Daphnia pulex: one gene and its partners. The main gene of each other region encodes a partner of the protein of the gene in region 3 in a complex. Links are inferred from orthologs where the notes say so. Each region holds a gene or a part of one and is shown on either strand. Other genes may lie near its edges.

What was found. Proteins that work in one complex are often made in the same cells at the same time.
Region 1: the proteins of target of rapamycin complex 2 subunit MAPKAP1-like (region 3) and rapamycin-insensitive companion of mTOR-like are in contact, whole or in part, in a cryo-EM structure (PDB 7PE7), measured with the Homo sapiens proteins. The link is inferred for Daphnia pulex from reciprocal best matches to the Homo sapiens genes MAPKAP1 and RICTOR. Residues at the interface, in NP_001006618.1 of Homo sapiens: Ala2, Phe3, Leu4, Asp5, Asn6, Pro7, Ile9, Ile10, Leu11, Ala12, His13, Ile14, Arg15, Gln16, Ser17, His18, Thr20, Ser21, Asp22, Asp23, Thr24, Met26, Cys27, Met29, Val30, Leu31, Ile32, Asp35, Val36, Ser84; in NP_689969.2 of Homo sapiens: Arg108, Gln137, Glu140, Thr144, Leu147, Arg148, Arg151, Lys152, Thr155, Arg182, Met183, Arg185, Ala186, Ala189, Cys192, Glu193, Leu196, Leu220, Arg222, Ile223, Glu225, Ala226, Leu227, Thr229, Thr230, His233, Asn236, Arg293, Trp295, Glu844.
Region 2: the proteins of target of rapamycin complex 2 subunit MAPKAP1-like (region 3) and target of rapamycin complex subunit lst8-like are in contact, whole or in part, in a cryo-EM structure (PDB 7PE8), measured with the Homo sapiens proteins. The link is inferred for Daphnia pulex from reciprocal best matches to the Homo sapiens genes MAPKAP1 and MLST8. Residues at the interface, in NP_001006618.1 of Homo sapiens: Lys102, Cys103, Lys104, Asn105, Ile106, Gln107, Trp108, Lys109, Arg111, Asn112, Ser113, Lys121, Leu123, Phe124, Glu125, Lys126, Lys127, Ser128, Leu129, Gly137, Lys138, Gln139, Ser140, Ile141, Leu142, Val144, Arg145, Leu146; in NP_001186102.1 of Homo sapiens: Ala29, His30, Pro77, Ile78, Ile79, Ser80, Tyr81, Asp82, Gly83, Arg98, Arg110, Ile111, Trp112, Gln120, Cys121, Gln122, Arg123, Ile124, Asn139, Gln140, Ala141, Leu157, Lys158, Ile203, Glu206, Ser279, Gly280, Asp281, Gln283, Asp322.

The regions. Positions count from the first base shown.
Region 1 is NC_060019.1:11,215,743-11,223,758, reverse strand, and holds the start of rapamycin-insensitive companion of mTOR-like, read right to left. Parts: upstream 4,899-8,016; 5' UTR 4,766-4,898; coding exon 4,729-4,765; intron 4,605-4,728; coding exon 4,545-4,604; intron 4,469-4,544; coding exon 4,303-4,468; intron 4,240-4,302; coding exon 4,108-4,239; intron 4,043-4,107; coding exon 3,852-4,042; intron 3,787-3,851; coding exon 3,398-3,786; intron 3,329-3,397; coding exon 3,019-3,328; intron 2,952-3,018; coding exon 2,614-2,951; intron 2,553-2,613; coding exon 2,436-2,552; intron 2,358-2,435; coding exon 2,175-2,357; intron 2,106-2,174; coding exon 1,897-2,105; intron 1,828-1,896; coding exon 1,738-1,827; intron 1,667-1,737; coding exon 1,450-1,666; intron 1,392-1,449; coding exon 1,168-1,391; intron 1,111-1,167; coding exon 1,046-1,110; intron 990-1,045; coding exon 850-989; intron 777-849; coding exon 533-776; intron 463-532; coding exon 1-462. Other genes in the region: NAD(P)H-hydrate epimerase, read right to left, coding at 5,381-5,504, 5,570-5,651, 5,734-5,990, 6,054-6,170, 6,243-6,539, 6,873-7,096, 7,164-7,246, 7,366-7,369; alpha-N-acetylgalactosaminidase-like, read left to right, coding at 7,890-8,016. UniProt on the Homo sapiens protein: Component of the mechanistic target of rapamycin complex 2 (mTORC2), which transduces signals from growth factors to pathways involved in proliferation, cytoskeletal organization, lipogenesis and anabolic output.
Region 2 is NC_060019.1:9,053,890-9,061,148, forward strand, and holds target of rapamycin complex subunit lst8-like, read right to left. Parts: upstream 4,205-7,259; 5' UTR 4,093-4,204; coding exon 3,761-4,092; intron 3,694-3,760; coding exon 3,574-3,693; intron 3,509-3,573; coding exon 3,478-3,508; intron 3,418-3,477; coding exon 3,340-3,417; intron 3,256-3,339; coding exon 3,110-3,255; intron 3,051-3,109; coding exon 2,908-3,050; intron 2,839-2,907; coding exon 2,723-2,838; 3' UTR 2,599-2,722; downstream 1-2,598. Other genes in the region: N-acylneuraminate cytidylyltransferase A-like, read right to left, coding at 276-464, 666-818, 1,609-1,738; uncharacterized protein LOC124191397, read right to left, coding at 4,287-4,715, 4,781-4,873, 4,934-5,976, 6,061-6,162, 6,785-7,190.
Region 3 is NC_060023.1:2,532,630-2,539,994, forward strand, and holds target of rapamycin complex 2 subunit MAPKAP1-like, read right to left. Parts: upstream 4,448-7,365; 5' UTR 4,324-4,447; coding exon 4,284-4,323; intron 4,226-4,283; coding exon 4,139-4,225; intron 4,068-4,138; coding exon 3,482-4,067; intron 3,416-3,481; coding exon 3,117-3,415; intron 3,057-3,116; coding exon 2,719-3,056; 3' UTR 2,668-2,718; downstream 1-2,667. Other genes in the region: translation initiation factor eIF-2B subunit alpha-like, read left to right, coding at 297-309, 369-476, 545-684, 749-1,126, 1,186-1,311, 1,372-1,530; uncharacterized protein LOC124198557, read left to right, coding at 1,813-1,948, 2,005-2,579. UniProt on the Homo sapiens protein: Component of the mechanistic target of rapamycin complex 2 (mTORC2), which transduces signals from growth factors to pathways involved in proliferation, cytoskeletal organization, lipogenesis and anabolic output.

The DNA of each region.
Region 1 (8,016 bases), on a different chromosome or scaffold from region 3:
CGCTAAAGCTGCGGAAGTGAGGAGCGTACTCTTGTCCGGGGGTTTGCGTTGACAGGGGCAACGTGTATGCTCTTCGACAACTGCGAATGGCACCTTCAGCGCTTGCAACATCAGACGAACGATCGGAATCCGAATCGAAATTGATGGAAGAACCTTCGAGAGAATAGGGCTGCGAGTCTGTTTCCCAGCAGCCAGTCGGCTGGCCAAGCGAACCGGTTCTTTGACGAGGAGTTGATGTCACTATCGATGCCGTTTTCGTATCTTCTCTTTCATCAGCGGCAAAAGTGACGCTGTGACAAGAACTCTGGCTAACAGTACGTAGACGCTCGCGCTCTACATTGAGCCGGATGCTGTCTTTGAGTACGAATGGATCATTGACATGCTGGAAATAAAGAGAATTCCACTCGGAATCATCCAACACATGCCATAGTTCGCCATGGTGTCGTTTGATGGAAGCCCAGCCTGAAAGAGACAACTCGATAAATAAACCAGCTCTTAATCTCTAGTAAATACTCCTCGAAATATATCTTACCAAATCGAGCAAGAATATCCACTCCGGCAGTTGTCACAGCGACCAGATTGAGAGCGAAAAAAGCCGTGCCCCTCAGCGTCAAGATAGTTGAGAACGAAGCAATACGAACCAAGGCTTCCACCACCTGAGCCGACTCCAGTAACGCAACCCCAGATTCTGAGGTTCCTAAATGAGCACAAGCCCACACAGCGGCTTTGAGTTCCAATATTTCTTCTTCCGTTTCAATGGATCCATTAGTAACCACCTGCAGTATAGGAGAAACCCTTAAATTGAAGGTACATTTTCTTTGTTAGCTCGGTGGAAAGATGAGGTACTACCGTGAAGAGCTTAGAAAGCTGCCCTGAAGTACGCAGAAAGTCTAGTCCTTCTCGGTGTTGATTTAACTGAGAGAAAAGATGGGGAGGCATAGGCAGATCTCGAATTGCATGTCGGACGTTGCTCAGGCGACCATAGCGACCTAAATAGTGGTTTTAGAATATTGATGGCGATATCACGCTTATATTAAACAAATACCATCTTCAGCTCGTTGATGCTGAGTCAATCCATCAGCTAAATCACTTTCAACCAACTGCACATACCTGCAGACAGAAAATGTTAGAAAATAGACGTGATTGTAAGGCTTGATCAGATTTTACCGAACGTTTAGGTGGCTAATCCACTGATCCAATTCTTGTTGAACAAGGGAAATCTTTGTGTTTTCCGTTTCAACGAAGGTTTCTTGCCAATGTTTGAATCCGGACATGATTGACAGCGTTTTAATTAGCAATAATCGTGCGCGAGAATCTAAATGTTGTTTTTCCTGATCTTGAATTAACTGAACAAATTGCGTCTGAAGCGGAATCAGCACTTCAATGCAAGCCTATTTCAAAAATACATTAATGAACATCAGAACAAGAAGTTGCAAGTGATTCTCCTACTGGATCGTCGGTGGCTTCATCGAGAATATCGGCAGCAGCTATGACTACGGCTCGACATTTATCATTAAGTTGATTAAGCAGTAAGGGTATAACCCACTTTGCGAGCGTGCTTGTTGTTCCATGCTCTTCTGCGGCTCGCAATAGCACTCGTATATGATGCGTGGCATAAATTCTGCCGGATTCCACGGTTCCAAGTAAAATCTTTTTCAAGATAGCCCTGCATCAATAATAATTCGATATAAATTCCTAAAAGTTGAGAAATGATGAATGGAACTTTTGTTTGTTTACCTAGCATACCCGTCGGTATGGAAATTGAGCGTGGAAGCGATAACCTTCAAGTAGCAATCGTGATTTGTACTAGCTACCAGTTCTAAAAGGCTGTTGTTTGATAAAAAAATAAGTAAGTAACACTATTGAGGGAAAGAAACATGAATTTTGATGTAGTACTCTTGAAAAATGCCAGCTTTCTCCAAAGCGATAATTCCATTAGCGGTGCTGCTCAATCGACCGATAAAAAGGAAGTAATCCCGGCAAGCTGTTGTAGAAAGTCGCCCAGGACTTAGTAGGCAGTCATGAGCCGAAGAAGCCAGAGAAATATCACGGATTGCACTGCTAACATCATCCAGAAATTCGGCCAAAATCTTTTCACATTCCAACTGTAAAAATAAAAATCGACCAAAAAATTTAATAACAAACCATAAATTCAAATAGAAGAAAAAGATTACCTCTTCAATAACTGTAAGAGAATCCATCAGATAACAACCAACGGTCGAATACAGACGCATACGGCTATTATTAAATTCGCATTGACAAAACTGATTGCTAGTGGGCTTGTAGAATTGCATTACCCGACGGAAAATCGATCTCAAATTCGAATCTTCCAACGCGCAAGAATTCATCTTACTCCACTAATAATAAATCAATAACAAGTTTATACAAAATTCGATTATTTAAGAAAAGATGGATTTCTATGAGATAATCTTTACCAAGAAAAGATTGGATAAAACGGACCAGTTCCAAATCAATGAATCTTTTTGCGCCAGGACTCCACAGTCTCGAGAAAGTGCTGAAAGAACGCTATCAGAATCTCTGCTGGATCTCATCTACAAATTCCAAATTTTTAAAATCTGATTTATTTTATAATGGGCGAACACAAATTCATACCTCTGATTCCATTTCTCCATTGGTCTGAAACTCCGTCTCGTCTCGATGGATGTTGGTTGCATTCTCCTCAGTTTTCTTGTATCTCACGGAGGAGTGTTTGTTGCACGATGCTCTTCTTTCTAATTCAACGATTTGTTTAAGAGCTAAACTGTAGGGAACGATTCCTTTTTTCTTAAGTTGGTGAATTTTGGAGAGGGCTGCTGCTGCTTGGGCGGCTCGGTGGCGTTTCACTGGGTCGCTTTTAAGTGACGTAATGCAGTCAACTAATTGAGGCAGACACATTTTTGTCCCGTGACAGGAGGGTGGCAGCAAAGTACTACTTAAATGCAATAACTCTCCTAAAAAGGAACAGATTCATAATTTAATAATAATAGTTAATATTTATTATATTATGCGAGAGTGTACCCAGCAAAATTGTTGCTCGGACCGATATAAAAGTGTCACTTGTCGTAATTACTTCCACAAGTGTCTGGACTAATCTGGCTTCAACCAAGCAGTAAACCAACAAGGCCATATGGTTTAATACAAGATTTGGTCTGAATTTGGAAATGTGCGGTAGTAGACATTTGCCTTCTGCAGCTACATAGCCTTCCTGCAGCTTCCAGGCGTCCTGTACACGGGACGGATCAGTAGCTAGAAGCGCTACGGAAAATTCGTCCGTCCATTCCGGCAGTGGTAACCGCAGAAGTGTATAGAAGAATTCCAACATTGATTTCTATATGAAAATGTAATTGTCATTTAATTATAAACCACCAAGCTATCCAATCAAGATGAAAGAACTTGCCCTGGTTTCCAAGTGACATGGGAGCAAGACTTTGACTAGGTCTTCAAGAATTTTGCAGCTCATAACATGTAATACTCCATTCCAAGACCTAAGAACTGTAAGCAGTGCTTGCTTAGCGCAGAGTAGACGAAGCTCACGATCATCTGTCGTAGTAGATGAATTGTTTCCTTCTCCTGCATCTATGTAGTGTCTATAGTGGAAATCACTATAGGGAGCAATCAGAAATCGCAGGTTTAATTTCGAAAGCTCACGTCGCGGCTCTGTGTCGAATAGGTAGAGTAGGGATGCCATCATAGCTTCTTGCATACGAGCAGAGGAGCAATCTAAAACAGCAGATGAGAAACATCGAACACCTCCGCTGGCAACGAACACGGATGGGTTTACGATACCTATAAATGGATTGAATTCAATGGATTGATGTCTTGATTTGGCTTTTAATAGAAATAAACCTTACAAAGTTCAGCTAGAATAGCCAAAGATGCTCGTACTAAACGGTCCTTTTCTTTGGTGCCATCAAAAGCAAGAGCTACAATTGAACGCGCCAGAGCAACAGGGAATGATGGTGGATCAACCAGCATCAATCTCCTACATAATCTCAAGGCTTGAGCACGTTCTGCCATGTTATCCACGAGCACATCCAGACACCTATTAGAGAACCAAAAGATATAGCTTAATATGCTTGTTCCTCTATATTTCATTCTTTATAATACTTTGCAATGAAGTAATGAAGATCTGCTTGAACCAATTTTTGTGCATATTCTTCATTTTTTAAGCACAGTCTAATTATCCTTAGACCAGCAGCTCTTACGGCTTTGCTGTCGTTGATCAAAGCAATTCGTAGACTGGAAAAAAAAGGATCTTTCAATACTGATACACAACAAAGTATATAACTCTTCTTTTGAGACCATATAAAAAAATCCAAAATGTCCAGTCCAATGCTGTCACAGCCTTTCTTCTCAATATGCTTTGAGATTACATTTAAAACCGATCCTATGTGTTGAGGTTTGCCAAGGGTAACAACATCTTTGCAGCACATTTGCAGCAAAGCATCCTTAATGCTGGGAGTCAGGTCTTGACATTTATAGTACAAGGAAGTCAGTCACCAATAAAACATAATAAAGTATTTGTCTATAAATTTGTAGTTTACCAGTTTGAGGGTTACCATTCACAATTGCTGAAGAAACTAGCACATCTGAAGTAGCATTTACTAGATGAAGAAACAGGATTCAAGATTAAATATCAAACAATGTAGAAAGCTTGCACACAAAACAGAAATACTGTAGGAAAATTAATTTCCTATAGTAAAACAAAAAAAATAAATAAAAATTTACGTTTGACAGTTCGCCCCAATCGTCGAGGCACCTCCATTTTCGAAGGTTGACAAACAACTGAGAGAATAAACGCGCGCGATTGAACTTTTTTGAATGCGAAACGTGTTCTCCCGTTCTATGAAGCAATCTAGATTACTAATAAGGGCTATGTTATGTATCACAAGAGAATGAATATAGCGTATTTGAAAGTTCCATTCACAACATAAACTTTTTAATTGATAATTTTTTTATAAAAGTCCATTATTAGAGAAAAATTTCTTTCACAAAAAATTAACATATATATTTTTCTTCTGAAAACGCGATCCATGAATATGATTTTAAAGTATTTTTTTTTTGTAAATATTAAAAAAAGCTTGTAAGATACTTGCGCATTGATGGATAGTTCAATTATTATTACTTTTACACCTTTACACCTGAAGAACCGGTATTAGCTAGTGAATAATCAGGTTGCTGACGGTAATATATTCTTCTGTGAAACGCGTAGCAAAGATTATGCCATCAGACAGCTGACAACTTTTTACCAAAAATCTTTTCAAACAAGATTTTATTAAAAATAATTTAATACTAATTAGTATAAAATAATTAATATGAAGACATTGCTTTTGAAATCGTGTATTTATTACGGCTCTGCTGGGCCCTGCTGATAAACATATTATAATCTTACGCAATTATGCGTTGAAGGATAATTTGGTAATTTTAGTTTGTATTTCGTAGCCAATGCAGGTGCAATAAAACGACCCCCTAAAAAATGGATCCCGTGGAAAAATCTTGCGCACCTGCCATAATCGACTTTAATTATTTTTGAACCAGAGATAATATGAACGTGAAGTAAATACTGTACAATTTCGGCGCAGACAAAGAAATAAGCATGGCTGGCTTTAAGGAATTATCTTGATCAAGTGGCCCATTTTCAACATCCCAGCCTGCAAGTACCAGACAATATTTAATAGCACACTTGTATGTATGAAAAATGCTAGCACAATAAGAACAAATGAATTCCTGTACCACTGGGAATATCAATACTGCAGCAGGGTGTAGACATGTGTAGCATATTGTCAATAATCTCAGTGAATTCCTTTCGGACAGGAGCTTTGAAGCTAAAGCCAAATAGTGCATCGACAACAAGTGAGTATTTTGAATTCAAGTCTTCAGTAGTTGGGCATGCTGTTAAAAATGGGATTTCAAACAGTTCACACTGCTTTGTAAGATTTTCATAGAGAGTCTTGGCTGTACGCTTGGGATAGAAGATTTCAGGACAGTAGCTATAAAAGAAATAAGAGACATGTAAAAAAAACTGCTGCTGCAAGTACCTCAGATTATAATACCCAAACATTTTCAAATGTCTTGCACAAACAAGTCCATCTCCTCCATTATTCCCTGGACCTACAACAATCAATACATTTTTGGATTCTGGAAATCCTTCTGCAATTGCTGATGCACAACTGATGAAAGAAAATAAACAACTAAATACAATCTACAGAAATTATTATTTTAAGGCTTATCAAGCTTTACACCTTAATCCTGCCAGTTCCATTAACTGTTCGACTCCAAAATAGTTGAAAAGCTCCACATCAAGTGCAATTGCATCGGATTGGTTGAGATAACTATGGGGATGCATTTTAAACGAATGTGTTGATCGTATCAATGGAAATGTTTGACTTTTCCTGTAGATTTGAGAATTCCTATAAGTAAATATTTTGCCGAGTAAACTGATGCTGCCGACAGCAGAACGCATCGTAAACGTTATGTCAAAACGAATAAACAACAACACACCTCCTACTTGCCATACCGTTTTCTCAATTATTTCGTATTTTACATTTCACACGTAAAAATAACTGTTATTCGGCAATAATCGCAGATTTTTTTATTAGATGAAATATCCAGCAGTGCGCAGTTTAATTTAAAAAAAAAATTATATTATACGACGATGTTGGAATTTATTTTTGAAATAAAAAAAAATTAGAGAAAACTTCGAAATCCACTTTTTGGTTACCCCTCAAAATTTCTGCATTCGCACTCGTTATTAATTTATACAAATCCAATCGTTAATAATCCAATTTGTTGTTAAGTAGTGGTATTTTCTTAACTAAGTTTAAGTTTTTAACATTACTATTTATAATGTGGAATGTACAAGTGTATTTTAATTTCTGCTAAATAAAGATGATGTGTAGTAAACAAGAATGAAAAAGGCAAATATGAGAAACCCAACATAGCACATAGTTTTCCTGTTACCGCTTCCCATGTTTAAAATGTTCTTGACTCTTCCCATGCTTTTCCCCAAAAGACTGTGTGAGCTGTCAAAATCATCAACCATTCCATTTAAAAAGCTATTTTGATCCTTTGTTTCATGTTCAATTTCAAATGCCAGCTAAAAAAAATAAGAAGTTAGACACAATTAACAATTTTGGAAGAATAAAGCAGTGGCAGCAACTTACACTTTTTAATCTTGATACTTTTCCGGCTAGTTCCTGGGCAAGACGCTCATTTTGCTCTTCCACCACGTCATCTTGAGCGGGACCTAAATAAAAATAACATTTCACTCAAAAGTAGAACACTAGATTTCAGAGAAAGGCTAGCAGCAGGAGAAGAAATTCTAAACCAAGATGGTTACACGGCAAAATAGATTGAATTTTATACCCATGGCAGAGTATCCCCACTCGTTGTTTTTTTTCCTATGCGCAATTTTCGGTGCTTTACGTTGGATTCTTATAATAAAATAGCCTCACAAGTGTGACGAAACTCGGAAGTTACGTGGCAAATAACTCGAATAGTCAGACTCGAACAACATCACCGATTCACCATTCGCTGATTAAGTGACAAAACAAGAATGTAAAAACTACCTTTTTCAGTCGCTAGGTGGCGAAGAAAAGCCATCTGCTGAGAACAATTCAATATAAAAATCAAAACAAAAGCAAGTGTCAAGTGTCATATCAAAATAATACGGGCTCTTGAGTAACAATACCGCCGTCACTGAGAATTGAGGTTTTTGTTACGACAGCTGTCGTTTCTTGCAGTTATTATTTATTTAATCTAGAACAGAATCTAGTATTCTCGCAGATCTCTGATTGTATGCCGTTTCTCTTATAGGTTGTGAAACATATATTGACGAGAAGCTTAGACCAGTGTCGAATATCCGCTTTGAAAACGTTCAAAACAATCCAATGGAGATATTTTTTCAAATATGCTTGGTGATATTAAGTTTCTCGTCATTTTCACACTGCCTTGATAATGGTTTGGCATTGTCTCCACCAATGGGGTGGCTGGCGTGGCAGAGATTTAGATGCAACA
Region 2 (7,259 bases), on a different chromosome or scaffold from region 3:
GAAGGACCCGGAGATGAAAGGATCTACAAATAAAAGAGACATGTTGAGGGAGGATATTCAGCTACAGCGGAGGTATTAGGCCGGAATAGGTTAGACAGAGCATCAGTAGAATGCCCATGTCTAGGAACAGGAAGGACCCGGACTGGACTGTGTGCTGTGGATGGACTCGGCAACGGCAACGTGCGCATCAGTAATTCAGGACATGGGGAAACTGCTGCAGCAATTGGGCACAACTGTTGAAAGAAAAAGTCAAGAAAATCAACCGAAGGACTCACTGCTGCCGCTGCCGCTGCTGCTGCTTTCGATTTTTGGTTCTGCAAGTTGCATCCAGCGCAGCGAGTGAGAGCGCGTGACGGAGAAGACCGAGTCACAGCATCCGGCCGTCATTTTAGCGATGGCTTCGTTCAAATGCGCAACGCGGACGAAAGGCGACGTGCACTGAATCAATGCCACCACGTCGACTTCTGTGTGTATGTGGGCACCGAAAAAAAAAGGCCGGGGGAGAGAGAGAAAAGAAGAGCATCAGCGGCACAGCAAATCATTGTTGCGAGGTTGATGATGAACGACAACGACGACGACGACGACGATCGTTACACTGTGCACGCCTTTTTTGTTGGACGAGACCACTGATGTACCCATCGTTATTATTACAGTAAATATCATACCCGGATGACTGGCCAAGAACTCGTTGATGGCCTCCAGTGAAGTGGCTCCATCTGACGACGTCTCGGCTGACCGGCGATGGACCTGGGCTCCGTTTTCAAGGGCCAATTGAAGAATGTCTGGGTGGTCGGACGACACCCAAATGGAAGTCAAACCTGCTGGGCAGAACATTCAAATCTCCGAGTCTGCAAGTTGAATCGATCCATTGGCAACGCGCCTTACATCACAACTTGGGGGCGTTCATCACTCGACTCACAAGGGACCAGCGAGGAAAAAGTTTCTAAATTCTTTTGGGATCTACACACATATTGAAGGCGCTGCGTGCAATGCGCCGGGTGAGAAGAGAGAAAAAAAAAATTGCGCTGGCGTTCCAATCCTCCTGGTAACGCACACAAAACTACTACTACCACCACCATCCAATCATATATATATATTTATTGTAAAAAGGAAGAAGAAAAGAAAAGGTTAGGAGCTATATTATTATTATACAGGAGCGGCAGGGCGTAGTATTGGAGCCAAGCACGCTCCGTTGCCTTTTCTCTCCCCCCCACGACGACGAAGACGAAAAACGCTCCTATATTCCAGTCTGACTACCACCAACAGCCTCAGTTGGCGCAGAATTCGGATCGTCTCCTTCTGAATGACTGCATTCGGCATCCCTTTTAGACACGCACAAATGAGCATACAGCTAGACGTCTATCTCGCTTTCCTTGTACACACACACACACATGATGAAAAAACCTTCCTACTCAAATATCCAATGAAAAAATGCCAATCCAAATTCAATTGAAGCGCTGCGAGAAGGAGAAAGAAACACCTATCTCATTCTTGCACGTATGTCGGCCGGGAAGGAGAATGTTACCCTCAACATTGGAAGAGAAAATTGTGGGGTTGCGGCCATACAAACTAAAATCGAATTACATAGTAGCGACAGTAGTAATTTACCTTTGCATTGTGACATGGTCCTGAGCGCCCAGAGAAGAAGCGGCGTGCCTTTGAGTAAGGCCAAGTTCTTGAGCGGGATTCCTTTGCTGCCTCCCCGTGCAAGGATCAATCCGGCGACGTGCATCGTCATCAGCAGTTGGTCTCGACACTGCAACTAAAGCAATCCCTCTGTTATGACGGACAATAATTCAGGATTTCTTTCTCGGTTCTACTTCTCAGCCGGCCTGGATCAGCAGTTAAAACTCCACTGGGTCTCACGTAAGCGTAGCCAACAAAAGTAAATAACGTCTTGTTTCTTTTGAGGAAGCTGTGTGTGCTCTCCCCAACCACCGCCTCGGAAGAGAAGAGCCAGCAACCCGGCCGCCGATCGATAGGATCCTGAAATCAAATCTGTTAGCTGCTATTATTGGTCGCTAGATGCCAGCACGCATGTGGAGTCTTGGCACTTTTTACGGAATCAAACATCAGAGGTCGACATGAGATTAATGCGACGACCAACCCGGTCCACCGCATTGGTGGTTTAAGTGATGGGACATTCAAGTGATGGAAAACCAACTGATAAAAAAAGGAGCGGAAGAAAGATGTTTGGAAAAAACAATGGCCGGCACGGGAGCGATCAAGTCCATCCTCGGTGCCCTGAATTCGGTAATCTCATCAAGAATCGAGGCTAGTGTCCAACTAAGGAGATTAATACTGATAGATGAGCCCCACGTTCGTTGTACGCGAGACTATTCCCTTCTCCTTTCTGCTGGACTGTAGAAATGGATGACTTGACATGAATAGAGGAGGATAGGGCGCTTGGTTGCTTCCATTCGGCTGAAATTCGTCACGCCATCCCAAACCCATTACGCCCGACTGATTGAATGTTAATCCAATTTGACGTTGACGTTTGTCTTGAGATTGAGGGGGCCAAAGCCAATACGACACAAGATAGGTGAGTTGATTCCCGCTCTACCAAATGAATCAACCTCTACAAGTGAGGTGGGACGGTACCATTAAAAATTCAGGCGTTCCTAAGTGTATCAAAGCCAATGAAAAACATTTTATACATTTGAGAAAAATAGAAGAAAAAAAAAAACCAAAAAAAAGGGAAAATTATGGTAAAATGTTCAATTTACGGTGTCCCGTCTTGAAATGCCAATGAGGTAAGAGCTTTTGAATGACCAATGTATTCTTTAGCTATCTCGCTCGTTTCTATACTCCACAGCCTTGCTGTGTTGTCGGACGAAGCTGGATAAACGAAATGTTTCATCAAGACAGGCAGACAAAACCAGGATGAAGAATAGAAGAGTCAAGTACCTGTTATTGCGTATTGTGAATCGGCAGAGAAGGCAATGTCCCACACCCAGCGCTGATTTTCAGTTTGCAGTGTGGAATGAAGGGAAAAATCGGAAGTCTTCCATAACTTGGCCGTTTGATCGGCTGACGTCGTGGCCAAGTACCTGCGAGATCAATTGTAAGATTGAAAAAGAAATTCAAAGAAAACGAGGCGAACGTATACTTTGCGTCAGGGCTGAATTTGCATTTGAGACCGTAACGTTTGTGAGCTAACAAACGGCTTTTCGGTCGCAACTGTGTTGGTGTCGAACCTTCTTCGCCGTCCGGCAGTTTAGTCCCAGGGATGAGGCTCCAAACATAACAGTTTCCCTTTATTTGTGTAGAGAGAGAAAAGGAAAAAAAACATCTCAAGACTTGGTTGGGAAACTAAGAATAAACATCAATAATGGGCACCTTGTTATTAATGGCTGCCATGAAGTTTGCAGAAGAATCAATGGAAATGTCTTGAATGGAGGCATCTTGTTCTGGAATCTGTAAGTATTTGATTGATATTATTATGGAAATGGAAATACTTGAGGTATCAATACTAACCAGTTGTTCATTGTGATCTGTTCTCAGGTCCCTATATAAGCAATCCATGTGTTACAATCATTCCCAACAGAATAAGAAAGGTACGTAAAATCTCACCAGATGTGGATGACACCACTTTGGTCTCCTACCAATAGTTCACCTTGATTAGGATGCAAACAAACACAATTTACAGGGGCAGTGACTTGAAATATTCTGGAACATTGCAAATTTCTTGTCCTAGAATGACACAAATGAGAACTCAATCAAACTATGTTTTTTCCAATAATACGAGGAAACATGATACCTAAGATCCCAAACTCTTGCAGAACAGTCTTCTCCTCCAGTGTACATCCAGTGTCCATCTTCGTGAAATCCAACAGCAGTCACATTTCGTGAAATACCTTCATAATTGACTATGGGATTGGGGTTAGAAGAGTTGATTTCATACATGCGAATATGTTGGTATCCTGCAGCTGCCAATAGCTGGCTGTCGGGGGTGATATCGAGAGCATTCACTTGCGATTCGGGATGTGTTACCGTCCGGGTACACACTCCCGAGTGGGCTTGCCAGAATTTAATTGAGTGATCATAACCTCCTGTAGCTAATATAACTTGATCTCCATTATTATTACCCATAAGGTTTTATTATATTGTTTGACGTTTAAGTCAAACCAACAAAATAAATTTCCTTATTGTTTTTCTTCTGAAATCACTCTACTAGCAGACGACGATCAGAAACTCAAACTACGAGCCCAAGGCCGCATTGCCAAATTACGAAAGGTATGAAATTAAAAAAAAAGAAGAGAAATTTTTAAGTTTTAAATCACATTTTATTGAACCGACAAGATTTCAACAATCATTTCTTCTTGTACAGACACAGGTATTTCTTCTGAATGTAGCAACATTATTTCAGGTGTAGGCGATACGGACTCAGTGAAGTGGGGTAAGGCAGGACATTCATTTTCCACATTTGTTTGTTCCATGAAATTTGATTCGGCGGAGACGTTTTGTGGATCCGGTTGCGTTGATTTATTAGAATCACCGAGATCTGTTTTTTTCATGATTCTTAAGAGTGTATTCTGACTCGGTAGGGGAAGAATGCCTTCGGATCTTAAATGCTTGTACGCCGAAGAACTTTTGTTTCTGATTCGTAAACATTCTTTGAGAAATTCGGGATCGTAACGCATTGCGCTGAATCGATCGTTTCTTCCAGGATTCACTGTTGCTTTGGCCATCATTGTTTTAACAACTAGCTGTTCCTAAAAGTGAGTAATTCTTGTAAATTAGCTGAAAAGAGAAATTTGACATATCAATTAATCATTACTTTGGGCTTTAAAAGCTTTAATTTCACATCAAAGCTATTCCAGTAAAGCTTCTTCCTTTCATTGCGCAAACCTTCTATGGTACCTGAAAGAGCCTGAAATTCAGAAAGAACTATTAAAGGATTATTCCGAGAAAAAATCCAACAATAATTTACCTCAATTTTAGAATTTGATCGTGTCAACCTTTGCTTGGTGGAACGCAACCTCGATTTATAATCTTCTTTCGAATTTTTCAATTTCTTGGTCTTCTGATTATTTGTACTTCTCTTCAAATAATTTTTAAAAACGCGGCATTTTGAACAGAGAGCGGAAGCAGGAGGGTTTGCAATTCCCATGCACATTTTTGAGCGCCACAAATTGCCTTCCTTGATACCAGCACATTTACCCGTCACTTCGGTATCTGCTAGCGAATCATCCACAATTCCTTGACATGTTCTTCTGTAATTGAAATCTTCAAGAATATTTGCTAAATCAGCTTTACTTCGAAACTCAAATTGCATATCTGGAGGCGTGATGGGTTTTCCATTCAGATACAACGCAACTTTGGTCATGGTGACAATTTTAACAGATTTTATAGTCATCACACCGTCATGGGAAAAAATATGACAAGAACAAACTAAATTGTTGTTTCGTTCGTTGAAGGACCAAGTCCATTCAGCTGTAGGAGTAACGACACCATTAATGAAGTTGTGGTAACCCGCCATACCCAAATGGAAACTTTCCTCCTCATTCACAGTAGGGGTCGAAGAAGAACGAATAACGTAATTGTGATCCGATTCATTTGGGCCAGCATTTTCTTGTGCTTCCTGAGATGTAGCTGATTCGAAATTGCGCAATGTCGATGACGCAGCAGCACTCTCTTCTAGAGAAGTTGGTGTTCGTGGAGGTACCAGTACGTAGCTGTGGTCAAAACTGCAAGACGCAGAAGAACTAACATCCATACGATCATTTTGCACCGTAGGTGTGACCAAATTGCTCAGAGTACCATTTACATTTAGCCCACCGTCTACTGTTAGTGTGGGTTTATTTGGTACAGCAATATTATCATGAACGACGATGTAGTGAGTTATAGGCCCATCAACTGGAAGAGGAATAGTATGGCTTGGGCCTGAAAAATTGATGCTTGATTCCGGAACAGTCTTAGTTTGAATAGGTAAACCACTTCCATCTTTAGGTTTAGGTAACAATAAAGGTGGATCTGTGAGAAGTTACATAATGAAAAATGAAAAATGTATTTGATAATTGAAAAAGAATCAGATAACAAATAGCAATGCAAAGTTACCTTTTGCTATTGGCAAAGTTTTAGAACTACAGGAATTTTTTAGGGTGGTTTTTGATTTCTGTGATGTTGAGCTGGCCACTGTTGGTCTTGTTGATGAATGTCCTGATAAACAAAAAAATAAAATACAATCAAAATTGAAATCACAAGTAAAACCTAAAACGTTTAACTATATCTAAATGTGTAAAACTGTATCTAAACTCTTCTCTATATTGCTGTAAAAAAACAGACCTAAAAAATGTTTTGGGAGAGCACCAGGCTTTAGCATCCATCTAGAATAAGGGTAAAATTTGTCCTGAATTGTTCTTCCTTTTTCTATATCGTCGTCGTCAAAATGCCGACTACAAATCTTCGAAGAAGTGGTTAAGCCTCCCCTTGGAATTATGTCTTGCCAAATTTTTAATGAAGCTTTTGGCACACCAAAAACTCCGACATGAGCATTTTCTTTATCCCTTTTCCCGTAGCAACCACTAATAAAACACCGTTTGTGTTCTTTTTTCCCCATGTTAACAAAACAATGTTACACAATTTAAAACAATTCACTAGTAGGTTGTTGAACGGCAATGTAACTAATAAACTTCGGGACTCCCGACACCGACAGACACAGGTGAGACGCCCCGAGACTAGCAGACTACATTTTTCTTAAATAACAAATACAATATACTATACACGAGTGTTCAACGCCAACTTCTGTACAGAAAATTACCCAATTATTTTATAATATTACCAATATAATACTTGGGATTTGAGCCTTCTTTTAATCTCCACCGGATGAAAGGATGAAACACACCTAGAATATTGTACCCTTTGACAATGTCAGAATCGTCAAAATGGCGATAGCACAGCTTCGATGTTTTATGTAATTTTACGTTTGGCATTAGGTCTTGCCATGCATTGAAACTATTGCTTGGCACTCCAAATAAAGTATAATTCTCTCTATTCTCGGCGTTTCCTGAATATCTATTAATGCAATTGGGAACTATACAATTTCGTGACGATGGCTTAGCTTTCGCCATTTTTTGTATTAAGTTGAGACTATCGCCGCTAGTAGCGGGAGATATACATCGCATAATATTTTTGCATATGTTATAATAAATATATATATATCCGTCTCCGAGAGAATATTCCGCCATAAGAGACCGGTAAACATAGTTAATGGCTCTGGATAATTGGATATACCGTACAAGACCATGTTATGAAAT
Region 3 (7,365 bases):
CTTTCATCAAACGATAACAGCAGTTTATGAATGTTTGCGGTTGCGTGTGACATAATGGACATATCAATCTAGGGCTCTCGGCAGATCCTTCCCTGGGACTAATCGGTGAGGGCCAATCAGAAACAAGTACAGTACTCAAGTGTTTTGACTGACTGGAGTGTTGACTTTTCATTGTGTCGTCTGCTGCTGGAACGGTGGCAAGCTGGCAAGCTGCTGTGCTGCTCTTCTAGCTGAAACTCCAAGTTAAGTAGAGAGGAAAAAAGTTTACTAGTGCGCAAAAAAGATATAAGTATAAAATGGAAAATACAAGTAGGTTTAGTTATTAAATAATGTTAATAAAAAAACTAATGTAATCAATGTGCTTTTAGGAAATGTATTGGATTTTTTCCAAAAAATTGTGAAAGAAGAGCCGGATGTTTCAGCAGCTGTTGCAGCTATCCGCACATTAATGAATATATTGGAAAACTTTGGTGATGGTTAGTAAAAACAAAATAATATCTATAAGCATAATCATTATCAACATTAAAGACTATCATATTCACAGGTGAAACTCTTCGTGGATTGTCGGAAGAACTGAGAAAAGCAACAGAAGAAATGAAGAAAGCTGAATGCTCAATTACATCAGTTCAATCAGGCTGTGAACTGTTTCAACGGTTTATCACACTTACTTCTCTTGAACAATCAGTATGTTGTCTATAAATATGAATCATAAATTTTTAATAGATTTAAAATAAAACATTCTTTTTAGAATTTCAAAGATTGCAAGGAGATTATGAAGAAACGAGGAGAAATTTTTCTAAGGAAATTACAAGAGGCTAGACCTAAAATTGCAAGACTAGGGGCTCCTTTTATTCTTGATGGACACAAAATCCTCACTCACTCCAAATCAAGAGTGGTTCTACAAACACTAGTTGAAGCAGCTGTTATATCCAAAAAACGTTTCCATGTTTTCATCACTGAATCTCACCCGGATCTAAGTGGTGTCGCTATGAGAGACGAGCTATTGAAACACAGTATTGGTTCGACTCTCATTTTGGATTCGGCCATGGGTTATGTCATGGAATCAGTGGATTTAGTGCTTGTTGGAGCTGAAGGTGTTGTTGAAAGCGGAGGCATTATCAATAAGGTACGGATAAAATATATTTATTTGACTATTTAAAAAAATTGAAAAATTTATTGAAATAGATTGGAACATATACTATGGCGCTGTGTGCCAAGGAAATGCACAAACCCTTTTACGTTCTCGCTGAGAGCTTCAAATTTGTCCGTCTCTACCCGCTGAACCAACGCGATTTACCCCAAGAACTGAAAGTATGTTAAATTTTTTAACCAATTTTCCATAATGCTGAAACTTGTGTTGAATTTTTTTAGTTCTCGTCAACTATTATTGAATCCAATCATTCTAATCTTCTCGATCAGCATCCTCAAGTTGATTACACGCCACCAGGATATTTGACTTTGCTTTTCACAGATTTGGGAATTCTCACTCCATCAGCCGTCAGTGATGAATTAATTAAACTTTATCTATGAAAGAGAGTCGTCTAAATATAAAAACATCGATAAATGTGTAAATAAAATACACGTTCATGTCACTTTTTTTGTGATTTTAGACATTTTCCTGCGCGTGTGGAAAATATAACATGCAGTAAGGTCATCTGTCGCAAGGTGGCGTTTCGAACGATGCACTTCAAATTGGAAACCGTTGAAGTTGTTAGCGTTGGTGCTAATTTAGCTCTAACTTTTTAACAATCAAAATTAGGGAATAATAACAAAGTTTAATTGAGACAACTACAGAAAACTGTGAGGAAAAAGATGTTAAATGAGCCAAATAAAGACCACATTCCGGAGAAATTTCCAAGAGAAAGAAACAACATTGATGACTTCATAAAGAGGAGACCAAGTCTTAACAGAAGTATTACTGGTGGTGGTTCTGGTTCAACTTTTCGAGGTAATGAAATGTTGTGGATATTGTTTGTCAATTTGTTCACTATGAAGTTTTTACAGCTGCTTGTGCTGCGGTAGACTCATCCCTACCTCCTTCTGGGAAGAAACATAAAATAACAGAACTATGTCTGAATCATACCCTGAAGGAAATGAAGTTTAATGCCTTAGAAAAAGAGCAAGATGCTGTTGCTGCCTATTCAGAAAGGCTACGGGATAACATTGAAGACATTCTAAACAAAGTTCTAGTTTCTACTGGAGATAAAGCTCATCAGAAATTTGAGAAACGAACAAGATCAGCCACAAAACAACTGAAGAATGAGAAGTTGCTGTGGAATGAAGAATACAAAAAGAGAAGAGAAGCCTATTTAGATGCAAAGAGTAAGCTTAAAGATGTCTTGAAGGGAAGAGTGCAAATTGAAACAGGCCGATTGAAATCTGAAGATGTAAAGTTTCTAAAGAGCTTACCAGATTTTGCAGCAGTCAACAAGAAAATTGTTTCATATCAAACACGCCACTACATAGGACTCGTACACCTGGAAAAAAATTCCCAACAACTACATCGGTCCTTATCAACGGTTGAGCGTCAACTAGACGAAGTTCAGAGCATGATAGTTCCAACTTTTCAATGGACATAGGACCTTCTCCCATTCCTTTCTGGATAACGACGTCTACAATAATCCTTTCTTCCGCTACATAATCCGCTATACTTTGTAAAAATTGACATTTCGCATTTTAAGGTTTATTAAACAAACAATTGAATTATTAAAATTTCTTTTAACGAATCAGGCTGGCTTTCTTGTTGACGTATGACATGTGATGGAGGTACTCCTGGCGGTAAAGTCCTCCCCGGATTTCTAATATGAATTTTAACTTCGCCACAACTTGTTCGATGGTCTTCGAGTCACACTCAATTCGCAAACGCCTCCATTTTCTTTTATCTGTGTCGTAATACATAATAGCAACTGATGCTGGCAATGTTTGCATAGGAACACAATCTACGATCACTTCAATAGGTAAACGGGTTGGTTTGAGATTGGGCCTTGACCACAGTAAAGTTGTTACAGACCGACTAGTTGGGCAAGGCTTGATCTCCACTTGGTCCCACGAAATTCCTGTGCGAAACGTTATTATTGGATTTGACATGGATAATTTATAACATTTTATTTATTTACCCAAAGTTATTTCCGTGTTTGGCCGAACTTTGTGTAGCAAAAATCCTTTGAACGAATGGTAGTCGGTAGATTCCAGAACAGCCCCACGCTCTTCTGGTTTCTCAGTGTTGAGTTGATCAACTGTTTTATTAGTCTCGACGTCTTTCTTCGCCTCCTTTGGGGGATTGGCAGAGCGAACCAAAGCCAGGGAGGTGAATCCAAACTTCCCAACAACTTCTTTAGGTTCTAGGCAAGGGAAATCGGCATCTGGACTTCCGTCGTCTTCGGCAATGAATAGTGCGTAATTATCCACAGATCCACTAATTGTAAAATATATACTGAACTTAATTAATCTAATTTTTCAAGGGCAAAATTTTAATATTTACGTTAAAGGAGGTTCTCTTTTTTCGTGGCTGTATTTGTAACAAACAAGGCCGATAAGTTCAGAAACCTTTGCCGAAGCCACAACACAAACGGTCATAGGAAAGTTGCGGTCTTCAGCACTTTGCATGCTTAAAAATATCCTTATTGTTCTTGTGGGTGCTCTCAATTGAGAATTCCCATCAAATTTTGCATACTCAATGAATGGCGAATCGGGATCCGAGGCGTGCTCAGCCATAAGTTTAGAAAGGGCAGATTTGGAATTCTGAGCAACCACTTCCTTCTTTTGAAATATCTTGGTCTTTTCACCTTGATCTAGATTGGTCAAATCTGGCTCTTTCCATCTAATGGTACTGATCATGGCGGCTGCTTGCTGTTCTTTCCTCATCTTCTCAAGCCTCACCACTGTGTTAAGCCTTCTCCTCCGAGTTCCAAAGTCATCATTACCATTTCCTAGAGATCTTGTGTGAATTCGTCCATCATCATCAAACTCTTCTTCTGAATCATCTAAATTTCCAAACCACTGTTTTTTACCCTCTTCTCTGATCTTCTTTGGTATATCAGCGTTCTGCAATATCATTTCGCACATGCCTGAATGGAGAGAAACAATGCAATCAGCACTATAGAAAATCAAATGTTCCAAAGAGAATAAAGTAACTCACCAGTATCATCTGAGTACAAGAATGAGTTTCTTACATGGGAAAGAATCCAATATTTGTTGTCATAAAACGCCATAATACTCTGTTGACCTAGAACCCAAATTCGATTTCGATTTGTACGCGCACCAATGAAGTAAGTATATCGTACTTTCGGATAGCGTAGCACTTAGATAATGTGTATAAAACATTGAAGCATTCTGTATTTTTCTTTTTTCATAGAGAAAGGAGACCAAACACCCAACTCTTGCTCTAATGTTATTGTTTTGCCTTTTTAGGGATTTAGTTTTAGGTTGTTTGACATTTTGATTGAGCTTCTGCTATGAGCGCAGTGTTGCCGCATCAAATCAACTGTCTGTTGCGCGAAAACGTCGGCAAAAATTAATAATTTTTTCGGCTAAATTTGTCTTCCATTCCATTTCTTAGATCTTCAAAAACGAATTGGGTAATGCTGTGAGTTTATTTCTTATTAACTTTTTCAGAAGCGAACACTATGTATGGTTCAATTTGATGGGCACGGTCGTATTGAAATTGGTCGAGAAAGAGGTAAAAATGTGTTTTGTTCTTTAAATACTACTTTAACATACTTATCTTTTTCTTTTACCATTTTAATAATGTTATGCCCCGCATCAAAATGATTTCTAATTATTTATTGTTAAATTAAATCATCGAGATCTTCATAATCATCAACACTGAATTTAACCAGAGCTTGGCGTGGTCGATGACGTCGTAGTTGAATCTGTGGTGCTTGTAACAGTAGTTGAGTCGGAAGTGCTTGTGACAGTAGTTGAATCTGTCGTGCTGGTTACAGTACTTGAATCGGTGGTGCTGCTGGCCGTAGTAGTTGAATCTTATTTTGGTAAATATTTTAAAAAATGTATAGTGATCTTAGAATTACGAATGTGGATTCATACTAAGTACTAACCTGATGTGGAAGTTGGCGTCGATCCTGTGGTTGTAGTCGCCGATGTAGTGGTGGAGGCCGGAGTGGTGGAGGAGGCGGTGGTTGAAGCGGCAGTAGTACTGGACGCAGCAGCGGTATTAGATCCTGGACAAACAACAACTCCGGCTGGAAGACAATTTGCGCCTTTCAAAGTGTAAGTAGCTGTCGAAGTTGTGGAAGTTGCGGTTGTCGTCGTTGTGTACACTGTCGATGTACTATAATCGTTCAATGTCATTTTATGATTGACGGTGATATTTTGAATTATGAATTTCTTAAGGAATATCGTGTACCTGGTGACGAGGACGGCCGGAGTCGGTTGCGGTCGGAAAATGCCACTGAAAATGTTGGAGAGAAGAGAAGAAAAGGCGTAAAAAGCGCCGAAAAGCGGATCTGCTACCCTGTAAACTGGCTGATCTGACGGTTTATCGAGCGACGACTGAATACTGAATGGGGAAATGAACTGCGGATTGGACTGGTAGGGGCGGATGGCCATTCCATTACGGTAATCGGGCAATGCGGAAGGCAGAACCCTATTTCAATTATTGACAAATACAAAATTAATAATTTGATGGCCCTTTTATCAGGAAAGATAAGATATTTATGCTTACTGGATGACTTGAGTGGGTTTCAGCGGCTGGTACTGTTGGTGGATGTCATCCTGGCTGACGAAGACATGGTCGGCATATAATGGAAGATTCCAGTACTGTCTCTTCCGGCGACACACCGTTGTGGCGGAAGGTGCTTCTAGTTTCGCGCAGTCAAACCTCTTACTAAAAAAAAATTATCAATCAAATTTTAAACAGGTAATTTTAATTTAGCCATTCAGTAATAAGAAATAAAAACAATTACTTGATTGTTATTGTTGTGGGACCAGTTGCTGTGGTGGTGACAACGGTGGTAACGGTAGCGGCTGCCCGATATTCGGGCAATTGATGAATGGCGTGATTGTTCCATAACGGTGATTCTTCGCGGACGACGGCAGCCTGTACGGAAGCGATGATCAGTACGAACAGAAAAATTGGTAAGTCAGCCATTATTTTCGCTTATTTCTGGGTGACGACGACTGAGCGAGTGTTCCAGGAACAGTAGCGCTAACGTCATCGGGATGGCCTTCTTTTATAGTGGACCCTGGCTATTTTATTTTCCAATATCTTTTTAAAACTGACCTTTCTCAAAGAAAAGAAGAGAGGGGAAGGTTATGGAGTAAAGTTCGACGAGGCGAGAACAGGTTCTCTGATTTTATAACAGATTAAAAGTTAATCATATATCCAGGCTTATATTAAATTGTATATTTCCACGACAAAACCTGCTCTGCTCTTATCTTGGGGTAGCAGGTATGTCCATCTGAATTTTTCCACGCGCTCTTTTACTAAGAAGGAAACCCGAAACCAATCTTAAAGTGTATTGTATATAGGCTAGTGAGAAGTGTGCCCTTTGAAGAGTTTCCTTCAAAAGATGGTCATCTAGATATTATTGTGGTTCAAGGTCTTCTTCTGTATAGTTCAATCGGAGTTTCCACGTGTGTCGGCACACAAGCAAACGGAATTTCACCTGTCGTTCTTGACCTCAGACAACAACAACAAAAAACAAGGAAAAAAAGAGAGAAAAGAAAGTTGGATGTTTGGTTTTTTGAGAATTAGAAATTAGAATTTTCTAAAAAAAAAGTTGAGCTCTGTTTGCTTATAGTTATTTATATTTTCTTAGCTCTTCTTTTTTTAAATGCAAATGACAGCAGTAGTTTAAAAAAAAAAATCTTGTTGAAATGAGAATGTGACGTGATGTTCATTAGATTCCCGTGTTTAATGAGAAGCTAAGATCAATGGCGCAAAAGGGCTACAATGAATAAGACCTTCTGGCTTGTACCTTATACAGCTCTAGCCTGGCTACGTTAAATACAATTTATAACAAAAGAGGCTTAGGCTGCCGAGCTATCATATGAAAGGCGACGGTTTATTACAGTTCAACGTGTGCTTCCTGCGCCGCTTCTGCGCAGCTTCCCTCGGCATACATGTAACAAGATAGTACCGATGTTGTCTGTAGTAAAAGCTCGCAGACGCGACCGTGGAATCAGCCAAAGTACAGTTCATTTGAGATTGGGAGCCAGTGAATGTATTAAAAAAAAGTTCGCATTGTTTTTGGCTTTCCTTTGTGCTATTGCTCTATTGCAAACTACAAATAACCGACAAGGATTTCTGTGTAAGTTATACGTTTTTCGTTTATTCTTCTGTTATTCCGTTCAAACCCGCTCCTTCTTCATTAGTGAAAGTAAATTAAGCTGATTTACTTTGAG